2 linked regions of the Daphnia pulex genome follow. The protein of the gene in region 1 interacts with the protein of each later gene in a biochemical or structural test. Links are inferred from orthologs where the notes say so. Each region holds a gene or a part of one and is shown on either strand. Other genes may lie near its edges. The genes, in order: F-box-like/WD repeat-containing protein TBL1XR1 and E3 ubiquitin-protein ligase Siah1-like.

Region 1 (10,150 bases):
ATTACTTTCTTGGCGTATTCGATGAAGCGGGGAATGGTCTCGGTCCAGCTGAATTGCTCCAGGTATTTGCGCCGATAGGCGACCACCACGTCGATGTTGGAATCGTGCTTGACCGCCAGCTCTAAAGCTCTGCCCAATTGGATAAAAGAAAAAGATTTTTTTGTTTTTTGTTCAATTAAAAAAAAAGTCGGATGTTGCGCAAATTAGAATATAAAAAAACTGAGGAGTGGCCCACTTTTCGAACTGGAACAGCTGCAAATTCAACATGATGGCTTTGAGAGGCAGTCCAGCCTGGAGCAGGATAGTTTCAGCTTCAGTCCGTCCGTTCTGCAGGAGGGCCGTCTCCGCCTTGATCATGGCCACGTTGTTCATCTTCTAGACGGTTCGAAAAAGAAAAAAAGAAAAATCGTTTTACAACTTGAGTGAATGGGAAAGAGAAGAAGCAGCACGCAAATCTATGTTTTACTTTGATAGCGTCGACGTAGAGGATCTTATCCGTCTCACGAAGGGCTGCGAAAGCTACCTGGGCGGCGTCCAACTGCTTATAATGCACGGCCATGGCCGCCAGGCAGACCCACAGAATTTCCATCTTCATCCGTGCGTACAAAAAGACAAAGTATCAACGTGTTAGAATATTAGATACTGGGCATCAATCTGTCGTTAGGAAAAATATACTACCTTGATGGAACTGCAGAGTCGCTGGGCGCTATCCCATTGGCCGTTGGACACGAATTGCTGCAACTTGGACGGATAAGGCGACAGGTAGACGGGAAAGGTGAGCCCATCGCCACGCTGCAGCGTCACCTGGTGTCCGGTAAAGCTCTCGATCGTAACGTGCTTTCCGTATTCTCTGATTTAAAATTCGAATTCATTTTAAAATTTGCGAGATATTTGGTTTTTGGTTTGGACCAACTGACACGTACCGGATGTTTTGACGAATGGTGAACTTTTCGAGTAATGCTGGATCGTTGGGCACGGCCGGCGGGTAAGGCACCACACACAGTTCCTCTTCTCTAACCATAACCAGCATGGAACAATCGCAATTCCAGGCGAACGACGTCACACCTCCAGCTGCCAAAAAAGAAAAGAAAAGAAGGAAAAACAGTTATACATCAGTCGGAAGAATAAAACGGCGAACTCGGTTGGGTCAGGGTTGGCTGCTGCTGGTGATTGATCACTCGTATAATCGTTCAACTACCAATTTTGAGAGAAGAACGGACTCGGTTGAGGCCCGACGATAATGAAAGCAGGTGAAGGTCGCGGGCCGTGTCCGTGAACGCCAACAGCTGATCCCCCGACGGTGAGCCGGGATCCAGTTCCAGCTTGGTCACTTGTCCTCCGCTGTGGGCCAGCGGCTTGTCGCCGTAGACGGGCTTGCCGGTGCGGTAGTGACAGCAGTGGATCGATTTGCCGTCGCTGGGACTACGGGCGGCTATCACCTCTTTGGCGGCCGTGACGTGATCGGCCGTCAGCATCGTCAGCCGCTGATTGGAGATCCTGGGCGTTCCCTGCAGGGCTCCGTCGTACGAGAAGACGTATAGGATGCCGCAATCCATTATCAGGAAATATCTGAGCCAATGAATCATGTCGTTTCATTCAATTTGATTAAATTTTTTTTTTTAATTTACTTTTCCGTTTGTTTGATGAACTGCGGACACTTGTCCCGCAATTCGACGGTGATGGGACTGTTCCAGCCGTTCTCTTTGTGGATGAGGCAATGCGTCTGGCTGGCCACCAGGAAATGGCCGTAGTTGAAGGACCAGAGGAGGACGTCGTCTCTGAATTCGAGCAGCTCGACCGTCTCGTTGAAATGATCACGCAATTCCAGAGTGTTGGGAGCCATCTTGGTCACGTGATAGTTTCCCCAAGTCAGCCCCCTATGGGATTTTCATTCAACATTCATTAATCTGTCAAGTTTTTAAAAATCCCCCCAACAAAAACTCGAATCGGAAAATGATGGATTATAGCGGAGCATGGATTATTTTTATTTTTTACTTTGCGTATATACACACCCTTTGACCAGATGAGATATTTGGATTCTTCCAGTCGAATTCCCCACCACCAACTGGGATCCTTCCGGTGACCAACAGACGCTCGAAATTCCATCGCCCTCCATAGAGCCCTCGAGAATATCGCTCTGTGTGTCAATCAAACATTTCATGTGAGTAATTAAAAGGCATAATAGGCGGAAAGATTTAGATACCCCGTAAGCGGATGAGACGCAGACGGATGAAAATGTCGTGAAAGCGCAGAAGGCTCCGTCTGGCGACCAGGCGATCGACGTGATGGGATGGAGTCGAGGGTCGCTGTTGAACAACAGCTGGCCCACGGGATCCCAAATCTTAAAGTGGCAATCTTCACTACCGCTAGCGATTAAATGCGATATCGAACTCCAGGCCACCACTAGGACAACGCTGTCGTGGGCTTTCCACTGCAGAGTCTAGTACAGTTATTTCATCGTGATTTAGTTTTGAAAATTACAACAAATTCTTGGCAAGTTATTCGTTGAGATATACGCTAAATGTTTATCTGACCTTACTGGTGGTTGCAAAGGACTGGATGGTCATCAGTTTGCCGGAAGAGTAGAGAACACCGGTAGAGAATGGGGACCAGACAGCCGAGTAGATGGGCGAATCCGCTTGTGTGTGCGTACTCCTCAGCATTCCACTTCTGGACCATATCTTGAGTTGGCCATCTTCGCCTGATGTCAGTAAGCTTGTGCCATCGTGATTCCATTTGGCATTCATGACTGCTCCTTTGTGAGCATCAATAACCCTCTCCGTTCGGCCCGACTTGTGCATTATGTAACATTTTCCTGTGGAGAAAAACGTTCGAATAATTTTTTTTTAAATGAAATAATTGGGGAAAATAGCTTGTTACCATCTGATGTTCCAATGGCAAACATTTCACTGGATCTTTTGCGTTGGTCGATGCTCTGCTGACTGATATTCATGCAGTCTATATCCAAAATGTGAGTGCCTTTATTCAGCGTGATCGTCTTGGCTGAACTGTCCTTGGCGGAGCCATCCCACGAGTGTATTTTCAGATCATCACTAACGCGTTTGACAGGAGAAAACAATTAATTTAATTGTTAGGTTAAATTAAACGACCGATTTGGTGCTTTACTATACCAACCTGTACGTGAAGTATTCGATTTGAGAATTCCATTCGATGAACAAAATATTTTCCGGGAGAACGGACGATATGGCTGCTCTGTCGTGTAAGTGCATGCTTACACGTTTGTAGCTTGTAGCGTTACACTTGAAAGTGGTAAATTTGTTTTTTCTTTTTAACGTGTGTTTGTGATTGTGCTTGAAATCGGTTGTTACGGGTTACGGTTACTATTTTTCTATCCAATTTTGGTTTTCTGGTCATAGATGGCGTTAGCTAACGGTGACTTTGAAGGATTCTCGGAGAAGCTCTTTAGCGCAACCTCAAGCCGAGTCCTGCAAGCTTGCAAAAAAAAAGCGAAAAAAGAATCGCTTTGATAAATAACTTAGTAATTTTTCTCTACTATGTTTGTGTTTTAAAAAATGAGTTTTTCAAGTGATGAAGTTAATTTCTTGGTGTACCGATATTTGCAAGAATCCGGTAAGAGCATCACCATTTCGTTTGGGTTTTTAAGTCGACTGTCCATGGGAATGGTCACTGTGATGAGTTTTTACTGGATGCAGTATTTCGACAAGTGCATTTAACAACTGCGTCGTTTCTTTCAAATAGGTTTTCAGCATTCTGCTTACACCTTTGGCATAGAGTCGCATATTTCACAATCCAACATCAATGGAGCTTTGGTACCGCCAGCAGCCCTTCTCTCCATCATCCAGAAGGGTTTACAATACACAGAAGCTGAGATCAGTGTTGGAGATGTGTGTGACAATTGAAATATGATAAAGTTTGTCTATCACAACATTTTTACTCTTTTATATTTTTGGTTTTCAGGATGGTTCTGAACGACCCATGGAAAGCTTATCACTCATTGATGCTGTGATGCCTGATGTTGTTGCAAGTCGTCAACAGCAAATGCAGAACAATCAGAAACCACAAGTGGTAAAGACAGAACCACCAAATTCCAATGGAGATGAACCCATGCATTCCTATCGTAAGATAGTCAATACTTTTCCTTGATCCCCTGAACTGCTTACTTATTTTCCCTTTAACTATTTCTTATTAGCCAACCCCAATGAAGGCCGGGAAGAGGAAACAGGAGTAGAGATACCTGCCAGCAAATCAACTGTACTTCGTGGCCATGAATCTGAAGTTTTCATCTGCGCTTGGAACCCGACAACTGATTTATTGGCTTCCGGCTCTGGCGATAGTACTGCCAGGATTTGGAACATGAATGACAACTCGTCTTCACCAACTCAACTTGTTCTTAGGCATTGCATTCAGAAGGGTGGAACTGAAGTTCCGAGCAACAAAGATGTCACCTCACTTGACTGGAATGTATGTTATTTCTTATACCTTAAGCGCCAAATAGTTGGCTGTGTAATAACAGTGTTCTTTTTTTTTTAGTGTGATGGAACTCTTCTTGCAACTGGCTCTTACGATGGTTATGCTCGCATTTGGACAACTGATGGAAGATTAGCTAGCACTCTGGGACAGCATAAAGGACCTATTTTCGCACTAAAATGGAACAAAAAGGGCAACTATATCCTCAGTGCTGGAGTCGACAAAGTAGACCTAAGTTTATATTTTTTTAAACGAAAACTGTTGATATTTATGTATTTCTTTCATTAGACGACCATCATTTGGGACGCTTCAACGGGCCAGTGCACGCAGCAGTTTGCTTTCCATTCCGCCCCAGCACTCGACGTAGATTGGCAGTCGAATGTCAGTTTTGCCTCATGCTCCACTGACCAGTGTATTCATGTTTGTAAGTTGGGCAGTGACAAGCCAACCAAATCCTTCCAAGGACATACGGTAACAATATTCTAATTTCTCTTGCGAATTTGTGAATGATTAAAAAAGGAATATTTTTTATTTCTCTAGAATGAAGTAAACGCTATTAAGTGGGATCCTCAGGGTAATCTTTTGGCTTCCTGTTCTGACGATATGACGCTCAAGGTAATGTGCAAGTTCATTCTTGTCAAAAGACAATCAAATCAAATGTGTCCGATCCTTTTCCTAGATATGGTCCATGAAACAAGACACTTGTGTTCATGATTTGCAAGCACACAACAAGGAAATCTACACCATAAAATGGAGTCCTACCGGCCCTGGAACAAATAACCCAAACATGAATCTGATTTTGGCTAGCGCTTCGTTTGACTCGACCGTTCGATTGTGGGACGTCGAGCGTGGGTTGTGTATTCATACCTTAACCAAGCACACCGAACCAGTGTACAGTGTCGCATTTTCTCCCGATGGCAAATACCTAGCATCTGGTAGCTTTGACAAATGTGTACACATCTGGTCTACTCAGGTACATAATAGTTTCAAAGTTGAAAACCTAAACAAACTACATCTTTATTCTATTTTTCTTAGTCGGGGCAATTGTTACACAGTTACAAAGGAACTGGAGGCATTTTTGAAGTTTGCTGGAATTCTCGGGGCGATAAAGTTGGAGCAAGTGCTTCTGACGGAAGTGTAAGTTTGGTTTTTTCTAACTCATTCGATTTGTTTTAATTTTTTTTCATTTCTAGGTATTTGTTTTGGACTTGCGAAAATAAATAATTCAACGCTTCAACATTTTCTGCAATTCCAGTTGTTTCATGATTCTTATTATCTTTAAGGTTCATTACATCATTTGTATCATTTAAGGAAAAACAAAATAAAAAATTTCAATTTATATGGATAAATTTGAAGGTTTATTTAAGGTTTTAATTTCTATAAATTAAACAATTATTTTCAAATATTTTAATGAATTATTTTTATCTTATTATTTAACTTTAAAGACATTTAAACAACAAAAGTTTCTTTCGCGAATTGTTCACGTTTATTTGCAAACAATCACATGCGTGGTACAACTAGTACAAGCGCTGAGGAACTCCCATGGTGGTCTTGATGTGAATGGAACGAACGTTCTGCCAGTGTTTCTTGAGCAGCGAAACCAAGAAGTTGATGGACAAATGGATGTTTTGGGCCAAATCGTCAGCAGACATGGTGACGTGTCCGACAGCAACGCAGAGACACAAGACCTATACATGGATACGTTTAGTTCGTGTCGAAAATCTACTAGTTGTACCAACATACCTTCTTCATCTGGAACTTGATGGTGCCCTTGACTTCTTCCACCTTCTGAACCATAGAATCAGAGTGGGTGAGAGGACCAGGGAACTTGCCAGCCTTGTTCAAGCCAGGGCCCAACAAACGAGGAATCTGCTTGATAAGGGCCTCGCTGGCGAGGAAAGCATCATATTTCTTGGCTGTATGAAGAAAGTGATGGATTAGTTACGCTTCACTTGAAAAAGGTATCAAAACCTACCCAATTGCTTTACAAGCTTCTTGTTCTTGTTAAGCTTCTTCAAAGCCTCAGCATCCATGCAAGGAAGGTTGTTGGCATTGGCCTCATCACAATGCTGCTGGTCTCCCAAGATGCATACTTTCATAGCAGGCCTGGGGATGTGCTTAAGCCTGAAGAGATATGACAATTAACAATTTGACTCTACCTTATACTAAAACCCAAGCCATTCCAAATACCAACCACAAGGCATAAAACCTTGCATAATGTTTGGAAAATTGACTTGCGTCAAAATTCCTCCCCACATATTTAAAATGACCCTGGGTGAGGGTCATCGTCAGACTAAAGTCCAACTCCCCAACAATGTGGGTTTGTAGTTCTTACTTGACGGTTCCGGAGAAACGCTTATCCTTTTGGGGATCGTAGTTCTTGAGACCAAATTGAATTTCAACAGTCTCGGTAAACTTCCTCTTCTTCTCTTTAGACTGCGACAACATGTTGTTGACAGCCTCGTACAGCGTATCACGAGATACCTTGGACCTGTGCAAAAAATATAAATGAATGCAAACATATTGAAAACCGAACACGCCATTCCATGCAGAGAAACCAAATGTCGACCGTGTTGACTTTTAATGAATTTTTTAAATAGCACAGGATTTTGACTTTTAACATAATACAATAGTTTGCCAACAGCTACTTCAACGCTTAATCCAACCAACAATAAACAATAGTTTAAAATTAAAAGATGTTTTACGTTAAAAACGATAACTTACGACATGGTGAAGTGCCTTGGCAAGTCCCTTGGAACAAACGCTTCCAAATGAAGGACCGAACTTAGATGTTGTCGGATATCTTTATGTCCTTCTTCTTCTCTTCCTTTCCCTCATAGTTGCCAAATCAAAAGAAGAAATGTCATAAAGTTATTTTGAAATAGTATCATTCTTAGTTTAAAATATACGGATTGGTTTTTAAAATTCCGATTATTATTTATGTTATATTTTTATATTTTACTTTTTAGGTAATCGTGACCTTTTTCCACATTTAAAGCAGTAGCAGACAGCTTCAGGATGCTTCAGGCAGCTTCAGGTACCGGTAGCGGTAGTATTGCTCTGGCGGGCTGAATTTAAAAGAAAGCTAAATTGCGCAGTCCAATATCAATAAACAATCGGCCTTTATAGCCTTTACAACTTACTTATCAGCTAAAGTTTCATGTCCATTCTTAGAACGTTCGCGAAGAGGGCGGTAGAGAAATCTGAAATCTTTCTGTGTTCGAAAACTTGGTTTAGATCAAACAACAACATGAGTGGAGTATTTTTTCCTATTTCTGAAACCAAACATCTTGCTCCAGGTAACCTTGACTTGATATTAATTGCTTTACATGACATCCCAGCAACATTGTGTGATATTTTCATTGTGATTGACAATAGGCTCAAAATGTCCTGAAGTAACACCAGGTCTGATGCGATTGTATAATATGAAATTCTGCCCATATGCTCAGCGGACCAGACTAGTTTTAGCTGCCAAAAGAATTCCGTAAGCCAATGTTTTTGTAAATACCCCAAAAATTATTCCATCATTTGTCTTTGTTTTTTTCAGAAATGAGGTTGTAAATATAAACTTGGTTGCAAAGCCTGATTGGTATTTTGCTAGAAATCCACTTGGCAAAGTTCCTTGCTTGGAATTTGATGGGAAAGTGATATTTGAAAGTTTAATCACTTGCGACTATCTTGATGAAGTGTATCCTAGTTCACCAATGCTGAACAGTACTGATCCTTTTCGCAAGGCACAAGACAGGATTTTGATTGAAATGTTCAATGCGGTATTAAAAAATTGTTTTTATTCAAATACTTTCTTTGAAAATGATACATATTCTCAAATCATTAGGTCAATAGTAACTTATATAAACTATACCGCTGTAGTTTGGATGATGAGTCCACTTGGAAAGGAGCAATTGTTGGTATCCACAAGGGTTTACAGATTTTCGAAGATGACCTAGCAAAACGAGAAATAAAATTTTTTGGAGGTAGGTAGATTTCATTTAGCTGAATTTTTTTTATTAATTTTTATTTTTAAATAAATTCATGAAAATGATTTGATTCTAGGTCAGAATCCTGGGATTGTAGATTACATGATATGGCCTTGGATGGAGAGATTGCCTTCATTGCCTATTTTGAGCCATGGGATGCTAAAAGTTCAAATGGAAAATTATCCTTCTTTGGTAAATAATTTTTAAAGACCATTACAGCATGTGTGTAGTGATTTTTCATCATACAAAAATAATTTTAACAACAGATAAAGTGGTTTGATGCCATGAAAGAAGACGATGCGGTCAAAGAAAGTTTCATTTCTCCTGAAAATCACGCAAAATTTATTACAAGTTTTCTAGCTGGGAATCCGGAATATGACATGGAAATCAATAAATAAAGTAGTTAAGACAAATTTTTTTATTCCAAAATGGAAAGTATACAGTTAATGCTTAATCAGGAAGATTAAACTGGAAGTATTCAGACCACAAACATTTTAAATAAGCATCTCTTCCCTACGGTTGTTTCAAAACGTATCTTAATTCTGGTTGTTTGCGTGGTCGCCTGCTTCAGGATCATGATGGAAGAGACTATCAGCTTTTTCTCGGAGATGCGAAGCCTTTTCTTCTATCAAAAACCCAGAGTGCTCCAGTAATTGGATCCAAGTCTTTGGAGGTACTCTAGTTAACAAACCATGTTTGACTAACCATTCCTCTAAAGTTTCATTTATTCCAACCGGATCTTCTTTATCTTCCGGTCTTGACAAATCAGATTGTGCTTCCTCTTTCGCACGTCTTACAGCTTGTTTCAATGTTTTCAGAGCTTCAGTCAGTGCTGCAGCTTGTTCAGTGACAAGAGCTTCAGCTTGTTGTCGGGCAGTGGCTGCAGACTGTGCAACTTCATTTTTCTCATCGGTTAATTTCAATAGCAGTTCTTTTTTATTGTGAGATTGTTCCGCCAAAGTTTTGAAATCTTCTTTGCACAAGTTTAATTATCGTTCTAATTCCAGAATCTTTTGGTCTACTTCCATGACCGCGGATTTTTCTTGATTACATTGAGCTTTCGAGATGGATAACTCGTTTTTTGCTCCATCCAAAAGTCTGGACTTTTCGTCGGTTTCCGTTTTAGCGAGGTTAACCGCATTCATTAGTGCGGATTTTTCGAGTTCGAGAATAGCTTTTTGGTTGTCAAATCGCGCTCTTAATTTAGTCAACTCGATTTGTGCTTCATCTAATAGTCTGCATTTGCCTCTGGTTTCTAGTTTAGCAAAGTTAACAGCATCATCTAAAGCGGATTTATCTTGATTGAGGATGGATTTTTCGCTGTCAAAGTGCGCTTTAAAATTTTCAATTTTGACGTTCGCTTCATCTAAAAAGTCTGTGCTTTTCTTCTGTTTCAGCTTTAGCAAGGGTTACCGCATTCATTAGTGCGGATATTTTAAGTTTAAGGGTGGATTTCTGATTTTCGAAGTGCGCTTTCAAATTCGTCAACTATGTTTGCGCCTCATCCAAAAGTATACACTTTTCTTCAGTTTCAGATTTAGCAACCTTAACCGCATCCACCAAAAGGGATTTGTCTTTATCGATGATAGATTTTTGTTGATCAAAGTTCGCTTTCAGTTCCGTCAGCCTCGTGTTAGCCTGTTCTAAAAGTCGACAATTCACGTCGTTTTCCGTTTTAGCGACCTTAACCGCATCCAGCAAAGCGTATTTTTCTTCATTTAATT
Region 2 (9,739 bases), on another chromosome or scaffold:
CTGCAGCTGGTACTACAACAGGAGCAGGTGTGGCCGCTGGCTGTGTTGTGGTCTCAGCTGGGGTAGTAGTAGCTGGTTCACTAGCCTTGGGCTTTGTAACCATAATGACGATAAACTTTTTCTCATCAATTCCATGTTCAGACAAAACACTAACATCATCAAGTATTTTCCCTGTAAAAAAAAAACAAAAAGCTGTCAGCTTACCTAATAAATTACAATGCACGTCACTTTCAAATTTAACCTGCATAGATGAGCTTCTGACCGACAGCTGGATAATCAACACCCTTTTCTTTCTCTATCTTTTCCTTTAGAGTTTTGACCTATGTTATAGTAACCGAGTTAAAAAAAAATGCATGACTCGACTAAATGCTCAACGTCGGTTGTAGCCGGGAGATCAAGTTTTTTACCGTGCTGGAAGGATCAATTTCAATTTGAAACGTAGTATTCTGAAGGGTTTTGAACGTCACCAACATTCTCTTTTTTCGATTCCGATGCTGTCTTTGAAAAATTCGTAAATTTGTTTTTGAGGAAACTGATGGAAACACCGTAATTACACCGAACTTTTTTTACCAAAAAATCACGTCAAAGTCGCCAATCCGCCATGCATTTAAGACGTTGCCAAACTCAATCGATGAACACACAGGATAAGGAGGTAATGAGATAAATTTTTCTTTGATCAAGTTTATGCCTTAAAAATATTTTTAAAACTTAAATGTCTTAAGAGATCTATATAACATTCTTAATTTAGATAAAAATTTAAGAAATATAGACCAGATATAACTCTGGCAACATGGACACAGCCGACATTCCATCCGGTCATGAAGTGCGACCGGATTTGTTTCTGCTTCTGTCAGAATAACAAATTTGCCCTTGAAGTTAAATAGAAATGCCAAGAAAGCCTTTATTTTGTTTCTTGTAAATATAATAAATATAAGCTACTGCCATAATGAGTCTTTCAACGCTTTTCCACCAGCTACTTAGTTCTTCTCCTGTCCCGTATCACCCGATACTAGCAATTGTTAAAGGACTTCGAAATGGAGCCGTGTAAGTAAAACATGTTTGGTTTTTATTATAATGTTTTTGGTAGGTACCTTCATCGTTTGCAACCCTAGGCTTGAATCGCTCGATTATTATTAAAAGTTAGAATTGTTTTATCTGTCAGGTTGATTTTTTTTACCATGAATGTGTGCATCAGCGATAAAATGTAGCCTGATTGCTACAGTGAACTTGCTATCAATTTACTATTCATATATATCAATGTAATCTTAACTACAAATTACATGACTTAATCAAATCAATTATGCAATTCTTGCAAATTTATATAAACTATGTATATCTCAAGCTAAGTATTATAGTTGATAGCTCTGCCAGTCGAGAGTTCAAAAAATATATTTATAACTATTGCTTTTCGAATTTATGCAGATATGGAGCCAAAATCCGATTCCCGCATGCGATGGTGATGACTTTTTTATTCAGAAGTGGCTCATTAAGAGACAAATTTGCCTGGATTCTGCGTGCTACTTATACACACTCAAAAAATTTAGCCACCTTCGTTTTGATCTACAAAACCCTGATGGCTATTATGCGGCGTGTGGAGGGAGGAAAAGGCAACGTTCATCCATTCATATCAGCTTTCATCGGCGGTTATTTCGTTTTTGGCACTCATGATAAAATCAACGAACAGGTATCATTTGTGAAATATTTTGCAGGTCCGTTTTTACCGGGAAAACGTTAATATCTATTTTTGTTTTGGCAGATTGTACTCTATTTGTTGTCAAGAATTACAGTGGCCTTTGCGAAACTTGCTGTTAAAGAAGGTTATATCAGCAAGCCAAATTTCGAAGTTTGGCCTTGGTTTGCTGCTTTTGTTTGGGGATCGGTTTTGTGGCTTTTCGAATTCCATAGGTATGGATTAAATAACTACATTAAAGCAATAGATTATGAAGGCTAATTTAACTTTGGTTTATAATCTTTTACAGGTGGACATTGCAGGATAGCTTGAGAAGTTCTATGGTCTATCTGTATGATGACTCAGATGTTTTCAGCAATTTGAAGAATTTTCTTTGGCACAATAAGTGAAATCTACAATGAGATTTTAAAAGGTTTCTTAATTATATATAGACTGGGTTTGTTTTGGTATGTGGAATATTAAGAATATATAGGGATATTTTTTTTGTATTTAAACTGTGTACATTATATGTGCTGGAAGCGATTCAGGGCAAACTTGTGACCAACAACCCCTCCGTTGCTATGATCAACGAGAGGTAAAACAGTAAGTTTCTTCTTTTGTAAGTTGGCATCATATTTTGCCTACACGAAATTATATCTCGGTTAATTTCAGGTTATTATGTCGCAATTATATGCTAAGATTACTTTATTGTAGTAGAGAACACCGAAAATGGCAAGTGCCATTCCTGCCACGTTTGTAGAGGTCACCGGATTGCGCAACATGAACAGCGAAAAACTGATCACTGCGATTCGTTTGGAGGCATTGGCCACAGCGTAAGTCAATGGCGTAACTAATAAATAACCCCGAAATAAATTAAAACATGCTTGAGAAATCTCTTTCTAAAAATAATCCCCACCTAAGTGAAGTAAACTGAAGGCCACTACGTTCTGAAGCCAATTTAACAGTCCATCGAGAAAGAGGTAGGTGAAAATCATGAACATATTAGTCTCCGGTTCCTTTAACAATAATAAAAAAAAAAAATTATCGTAAATGTTGTGGCAGAAAAACCATTCATAAAGAGCTTTCTGAACTCCTCGTCACTTACGATGTTTGTGTGTTGAATGATTTTCCATAAATCAAAAATTGCCCACACTGGAGTGAACATCAGTAGAGCAAGTTGGCCTAACTAGAACAAATAATTCATGAAATTAAGCCATGTACCGAACAACCAAACACAATATTAATGTAATACCATGTGAAGGAGTCTCAAATGATGGACTCCAGTGTCGTGTAAGACTTTTTTACTAAAAATATTTTGCAAGCTGAAACCGCACCTAAGTTTGAAAAAAAAAATGTGTCAAATTGGACAATAAATAAGTTAAATTTTCATTTCGTACGTCGCTACTAAAGCACTCCACATTCCGATTACATCGAAAGATATTTCAGTAACGGTAGCTATTGCCACTCCCATGATGATTGGAATCAAAGATAAATAGACCTTGAAATGAAATAAACAGTACATTAATTGGATTACTAAATGTCTAGATGAAGTGAATTAAAATTACAGGTAATGTTTGTTTTTCTCCCATAAGGACCCTGGACAGTACCACTGTGAATAGTGGCATTGAGGCTTTCACTATTATAGTAAACAAATGGGCATTAGCAAAAATAATGTATATATCTTAAAGTACAATCAAGCTTAATTTAAATTCGGTTATTTGTTGATGTATATTTTTATAGGAGCAGTCTACTGGCTTAGTACCTGTGTGGGCAAATGAAACAGGAACCTTCCATATACTAATATGGGAGAAGACCGATGAAAGGAACTTTCCAAATGCAAGAGGGATGATCAATTTCCAATAGTAATCTTTTGAAAAGCTGCTTTGTAGGCCTGGGCGAATATTCCAGCATTTTAGAAGAGGACCTAAGGGAAATTAGGAACAACAAAACTATTTATAAAAAAAACTACAAATTAATAAATTAAATAAATCATTAAATTAAAAACCAGAATAAAGAGAAATGGAGAGCAGCTGGACCATTGTTAATGTCATTGGATAAGGGAATTCGTTTAAAACCCATTTCCCAATTACATTGTTGCTGGATGAGATGAGATACCTTTAAGGAATGGAAAAACAAACTTAAAGCTGACCTGGTTCAGATCAAAATAATTGAAGAAATGGGAGCACAAACCAGAAAACACATAAAATAACAATACGGGTTGCTTCACGTATTTGTCGACGATCCGTCATGATTGATAATCAATTGAACTAACTGTACAACTTATATTACGGTAATATTTTCACTTTCACGTCATTTAATGTAATGTCAAAGTGTGCAAACTTAAGATCAACAAACACACCGAATAGTGATCGGCGTTCCAGCAGCTGAATAAATTATAAAAAAAAATTCCACGTCGGACGAAGCGGTTGCCATGGGAACTAATGTCACTTTAATCTTTCGTTTCATAAATTATTTTGCGGAAATTTTTTTATCTGGAAATTCTTTAAAAAAATTCTTTCAATTATTGACAAAATATTCTTAAGATGTTTCGAATTTTCTTTCATTTATGAGAAATAGAGCAACTTGGGCGTCCCTAAACTGCGAAAGCGAAACGCGAAACGCGAAACGCCTAAAATGCGAAACAGCTGTGCGAAACGGACCAAAATTTTGGAACCGTTTCGCGGGACCAAATGCCGGAGGGCATACTAAAGAGCGAAACATCTTGCGAAACAAATAGTTTTCCTTTTCCCCACAGAGGTCCAAATTGACGGAGATTGCCGCCATTTTTCATTGTCTCCCGCTATGATGAGGCATTAAAGGAGGAAGGGGGGCAATCAAATTCGATTTCTTCGCCACTACCCCTGTATGTTTTAATGCGCATTTTACGATTATTAAACTAATGAAAGACATAGAGCAGCACGATATGGTGATATTTTTAAATAATAAAATATTAGGTAATGGCCCAGGGATTATACATTACATTAAATAATTTTAATCAACCAGTAGATACGTGCACAAAGAAATAATCGGTCATAACAGTATGAGTGCCTTATATCAAGCTAAAAATCAAAGCTACCATGTTCCAAATCAAGCTAAAATTTAATCAACTAAAACTTCCCTTAAAATTAAGAATGTTAATCTGATTGATACTGATACATGGAAACGAGAAGTTCCATAAATTTTTTTATACCAATCTTCTAATTAAAAACACCTATTGCATATTGCATTCAAGGTATTCCGTATTCATAGTCAACACACAAATAGACCAGCCATAAGGTGCGCGAAACTCGAAGTCTCGAAAATTTGAAACTCTTAACAATTTTTTTGTTGACGGCGTCCATTGTCGTCTGCTACCAAGACGTTTACACTGCGACGTTTCGCAAACACCGATTTCGCAGTTTAGTACGGACCCAAAGACTAAAATGCGAAACAGGGTCCCAACTTTTGGGTCCGTTTCGCACAGCTGTTTCGCATTTTAGGCGTTTCGCGTTTCGCGTTTCGCTTTCGCAGTTTAGGGACGCCCGAGCAACTTGCAGTCAGCTGCCTGCTCAAGATACTGTTTAGCCGTCCTTATTTTATTTACTCAATGTTGTCAACGAAGAACCCTTGTTGAGATCACGGAGGCCACCTTCTATGCCTAAAAACAACAGTAAATTCTATACTGAATTAATAAGAACGTTTCCAACATCCTGCAGTGATTCTAATCTCAGGTTTGTTGTGATTTTCATGAAATAAGCAGATAGGATATTAATGAGAGAATGAACTTTAAACATGATAAAAAAGATGGTTTAGTTTCTCCATTTTTGTCTGGCTAATACCACCTCATGTTGTGTTAACAAGTGTGTGAGAATGTATTGTTTTTGTTTTGATCAGCAGGATGAGTTTTCTCAAGCAAGAAGGTTCCAAAAGTCGTTCAAGTATTTCAAGTATTTCTTCATCCACATCCACACTTGGCTCTGGATCAGTCTCTGGTTCTACAGTAGCTTCCTCAGCAGACTTGGCTAGCTTCTTTGAATGCCCAGTTTGTTTCGAGTATGTTCTTCCACCAATCCTACAATGCCCAAGTGGTCATCTGGTATGATTTTGTGTGTTTTCTTGTTACATAAATATTTTAGACCATCAACTAAAATTTCTCAAATATTCTTCTTTCATTACCTAAAAAAGTAGATTTCATTGACTAAATAATAATTTCAAACAATTGTGTAGGTCTGTTCCAACTGTAGACCAAAACTCACCTGCTGCCCAACCTGCAGAGGACCCTTAGGTAGAGATTGACCAGAACAAATATTTAGTGCCCAATTCTTAAATAAATGTTGATATTTAGGCAATATAAGAAATTTAGCTATGGAAAAAGTGGCTTCCACAGTTTCTTTTCCTTGCAAATTTTCTACTTCTGGATGCCAGTTTACAATGTTGCACACAGCTAAAGGAGATCATGAAGAGACTTGTGAATATCGACCTTATTCTTGTCCGTGTCCGGGGGCGTCCTGTAAATGGCAAGGAGCTTTAGAGCAAGTAATGCCCCATTTGCTCAATCAACATCGATCTATCACGACTCTCCAAGGTTGATACATTTTTTAAAAAACATTCAATCCAACATTTATTAACTATTGATTTTAAACTTGTTTTGTTTCAGGAGAAGATATTGTTTTTTTAGCAACAGATATCGCACTCCCCGGCGCCGTCGACTGGGTTATGATGCAATCTTGTTTTGGTCACCATTTTATGCTAGTGCTGGAAAAGCAAGAAAAATATGACGGGTTGCAACAATTTTTTGCTATCGTCCAATTGATTGGCACAAGAAAGCAGGCCGATAACTTTGCCTACAGGTACGTTCTAAAACTCCAATATATTTCATTGACTCATGCGTTAATTATCTTAGATTGGAATTGAGCGGTCACCGTCGACGGTTAACGTGGGAAGCGACGCCACGATCCATTCACGAAGGCGTATCTTCCGCCATTCTAAACTCGGACTGCCTCGTTTTTGACACCTCTATCGCCCAGTTGTTTGCTGAAAACGGCAATTTGGGTATCAATGTTACCATTTCTATGTGTTAATTTACTCCGAATTTGAGAGACACTCATTATTTTCTCTCGCCAAATAAGTTTGGTTGTGCTAATTAATTTCCTTTTTTCCCCCGTCGAAATGACAATGGCTCATTTTTAAAAATCGTGTTTCCCGTCTTTCGCATGTGTGTTACCGTATGTGCATGGACATCACAATTCGCGAACAAGTGAAACAAAAAAACTGTTGTAAACGACCGTTTCCCTTCCCCTCTTTCATTAATTTTTTTTTTGTTCGAACAGAATTTTCTCTCATGTTGCCTTGTACAGTTTTGCTATTGCGATCAATGATCAATTATACGGCTCCATGTTCAAACGAAGCAATTCGTCAATTTACGCAATTATACGATAAGATTATGTTTCATGGTGTGCGATGAATATGTGATAATGTAGGTGACGACCATGGTGTCAGGATCTGATAAGAAAAGGTCTCAGTGCCATTTTTTCCTCAAGTGATAACTGAGATATTTTTATAATTGTAGATTGTGACGCACAGTTGAAATCGAAATGGCGACGAGGATGTTGTTAATAATATGCCTGCTTTATGGTAAGACGAATAAGATATTTAAAATTTTCTTTTGTTCTAAACGTTTTGTGTTTGCTTTAGTGGGATTGACTGGAGCAGAAGATATTGATTTTGGTGACCCGAACACTTGTACTCTTCAAAATAAGGAATGTCAAGTAGACTTGAAGGTAGATTGTCAGAGTGAACTGTCTGGATTTATACAGACTCCCAATTTTCCAACCAATATGAATAATGCCCAATCCGGAAAGGTAAAGAAATCAAGAACCGGGTTTCATGTATTTTATTGCATACATAATTTATTTTTAACAATTGTTCTAGTACCGACTAACAATTTCATCGTGTGAAAATTCACAAATTACCTTGATCCTGACGGACGAGGATTTTTTTCTGGGACCAGATACTAACACATTTTCGGTCGGTAACGGTCTTGTAATTGGTGCTAACAATATCCCACCGGAGCTGAGGGGTAAGGAATCCAATCTTTATAGATAGAATATACTACTAAATATATTATAGATTTCAATAATCGCCGCTTGTAACCAAGTTGATCCCCAAAAAACACAATCGCACAAATTTCATCAGGTTGATGGGTTGTTCATGTAGTCTACGATATTACCTAAAAATAAGGTTGTTATTAGGTTCTAGTGACGGTGGAAACGAGCTACCAAATGGTGATCCGACCTATGAGTATGAAAGTGCCTCCAATGAACTGTGGATGGAGGCCAACCTGATGGCATATCGGTCAAACTTCAAAATCCAATACAACATTACAGTCTTGAGTATAAACATATATTATTTGATTTGCATTGACAATTTCAAATTAAATTATATCCTTATTTATAGCTTCAAATATCCACAATTATAACGAAACGTCAGGAAATATGACTTCTCCCGGTTATGGAATATCTTACCCATCTCAAACAACAGAAGATATACATGTGATTGATGTCACAGATGTGGCAGGGGAATATGTGGACCTGTTACTCACAGTTAATGTACTGGACATTGCAGGCATCAACGGGGACTACATCACACTTGGACCTGGTTATTCTCCTAGTTCTTGCATATTTATTGTATTTAAAAAAATTCGTATTTTTCGCTTCGTTACAGGGTCGGAACCTTCGGTTGATAAGAGCGCAGTTGTCCTCTCGTGGCGTGTTACCAAAGGAGTTCAATTTTTGATTGATGGACCTAAAGCTCATTTAGTTTTTAATGTTTTACGACCCGCCGACGCTGAACAGGTTTCCGCAAAAGGATTTTTCATCTCCTACCAAGTGATTGGTAATTACAACACCAGTAGTTGATGGTGACGGTAAAATATAAATTTTTTTGTTTCAATTATATAGAAAAGAATTTGACAACAGCAGCGCCCATGACCACACCTATGCCTACAAGCCCCACGCCTTTGCCATTTGATCCAGATATCCTTTTAACTGATGTCGTCTACCACACATATGTGGGCGCCGAAGCATCTTCACAGCTGGCAGAAATTTTGCAGATGTATGCCGAGTCATCTGGAATGCTGGAAAAAGGCGAAATAGTTCCTAATTTAACGTAATAAGCGATTTTTCTTCTATTCCATTGTTCATGAAATATTGAATTAAATTGTTTTCCTTAGTGCTGTCGGTACTGTCCAAATAGTTCAAGTTGAGAACTGTTATCATGGATGGAATGTCGATATGGACATCTGCGGTCTGACGCATGTGATTGTCCGCGCGTTTTACCAAAAAACAGGAGAGACTGATGTCACTTACGCCTTTCCGACCGAAGAAGTAAAAAAAGCTGTAAGGGAGTATGGCTACATTCACGAAGTCGTCCTGCCAGAAGACTTGGCCAACTTGTACTGGATCTTTGTTGGTGTCGTCCTCATTCTAATTATTTTAATCCTCATTGGGTTATTAATTGTCTGGCGGCAAAAAATGCGTCGTGACGCTAAAAAGTAACAACATTTTTCATTAGATATTTTTGAAATTACCGTAGACATAATTATTTTAATCATTTATGATTATTTAATTTTTTTTGGGTTAGGCGAAGAAAGTATCACGAAATAAAAAATGATAATCATTCCGTAGGTGCCGACAGTGACATTTCTATCACAGGCGTTGGCAAATCAAGTCGCTTCGAAATGAATTCTGGTGTTGATAATCCAAATTTCGTTATTGACGTAAGTTGTTGGCAACACATTTATTGTGTTTATCCTGAATTCAAACTCATTCGTTAATTTAACAGGAACAAGAAAATGGTCGCCCCGTAATGGTTTACGATCCGGAGAAAGGAACATTTTATTCGCGAAACAGTCACAGACCTACTTATCAAGTAAGAAATGTGGATCAGGGACCAGCTCGATCAGCGGCTGTACTGAATGTTTCACCCATCACCAGCGGTTTCCAACGGCAGAATGGAAGCAATAGAGATCAAATAGCGAATGAGGGAAACGATATGTCATCTATCATGCCACCACTTCCCACCGTACCTAAA

What was found.
Region 2: the proteins of F-box-like/WD repeat-containing protein TBL1XR1 (region 1) and E3 ubiquitin-protein ligase Siah1-like form a complex in vitro, tested with the Drosophila melanogaster proteins (2 studies listed by BioGRID). The link is inferred for Daphnia pulex from reciprocal best matches to the Drosophila melanogaster genes ebi and sina.

What each region holds. Positions count from the first base shown.
Region 1 is NC_060027.1:3,224,246-3,234,395, reverse strand, and holds F-box-like/WD repeat-containing protein TBL1XR1, read left to right. Parts: upstream 1-3,418; 5' UTR 3,419-3,533; coding exon 3,534-3,591; intron 3,592-3,720; coding exon 3,721-3,866; intron 3,867-3,939; coding exon 3,940-4,099; intron 4,100-4,171; coding exon 4,172-4,443; intron 4,444-4,512; coding exon 4,513-4,674; intron 4,675-4,737; coding exon 4,738-4,920; intron 4,921-4,989; coding exon 4,990-5,064; intron 5,065-5,128; coding exon 5,129-5,586; intron 5,587-5,642; coding exon 5,643-5,673; 3' UTR 5,674-5,787; downstream 5,788-10,150. Other genes in the region: intraflagellar transport protein 80 homolog, read right to left, coding at 6-129, 236-375, 467-589, 679-850, 924-1,071, 1,199-1,569, 1,629-1,877, 2,013-2,137 and 4 more; 60S ribosomal protein L10a-like, read right to left, coding at 5,967-6,137, 6,193-6,365, 6,425-6,573, 6,785-6,940, 7,174-7,178; pyrimidodiazepine synthase-like, read left to right, coding at 7,610-7,748, 7,828-7,933, 7,997-8,219, 8,285-8,423, 8,503-8,618, 8,693-8,824.
Region 2 is NC_060018.1:3,699,290-3,709,028, reverse strand, and holds E3 ubiquitin-protein ligase Siah1-like, read left to right. Parts: upstream 1-5,208; 5' UTR 5,209-5,302; coding exon 5,303-5,379; intron 5,380-5,542; coding exon 5,543-5,744; intron 5,745-5,875; coding exon 5,876-5,933; intron 5,934-5,993; coding exon 5,994-6,233; intron 6,234-6,305; coding exon 6,306-6,498; intron 6,499-6,551; coding exon 6,552-6,729; 3' UTR 6,730-7,051; downstream 7,052-9,739. Other genes in the region: UV excision repair protein RAD23 homolog B-like, read right to left, coding at 1-171, 242-320, 408-473; peroxisomal membrane protein 4-like, read left to right, coding at 947-1,044, 1,423-1,684, 1,757-1,905, 1,980-2,079; solute carrier family 35 member E1 homolog, read right to left, coding at 2,194-2,310, 2,374-2,519, 2,586-2,685, 2,775-2,855, 2,922-3,003, 3,067-3,167, 3,235-3,305, 3,432-3,593 and 2 more; uncharacterized protein LOC124188473, read left to right, coding at 7,243-7,282, 7,343-7,509, 7,580-7,727, 7,900-8,040, 8,105-8,305, 8,372-8,542, 8,608-8,815, 8,880-9,200 and 2 more. UniProt on the Drosophila melanogaster protein: E3 ubiquitin-protein ligase that is required for specification of R7 photoreceptor cell fate in the eye by mediating the ubiquitination and subsequent proteasomal degradation of Tramtrack (ttk).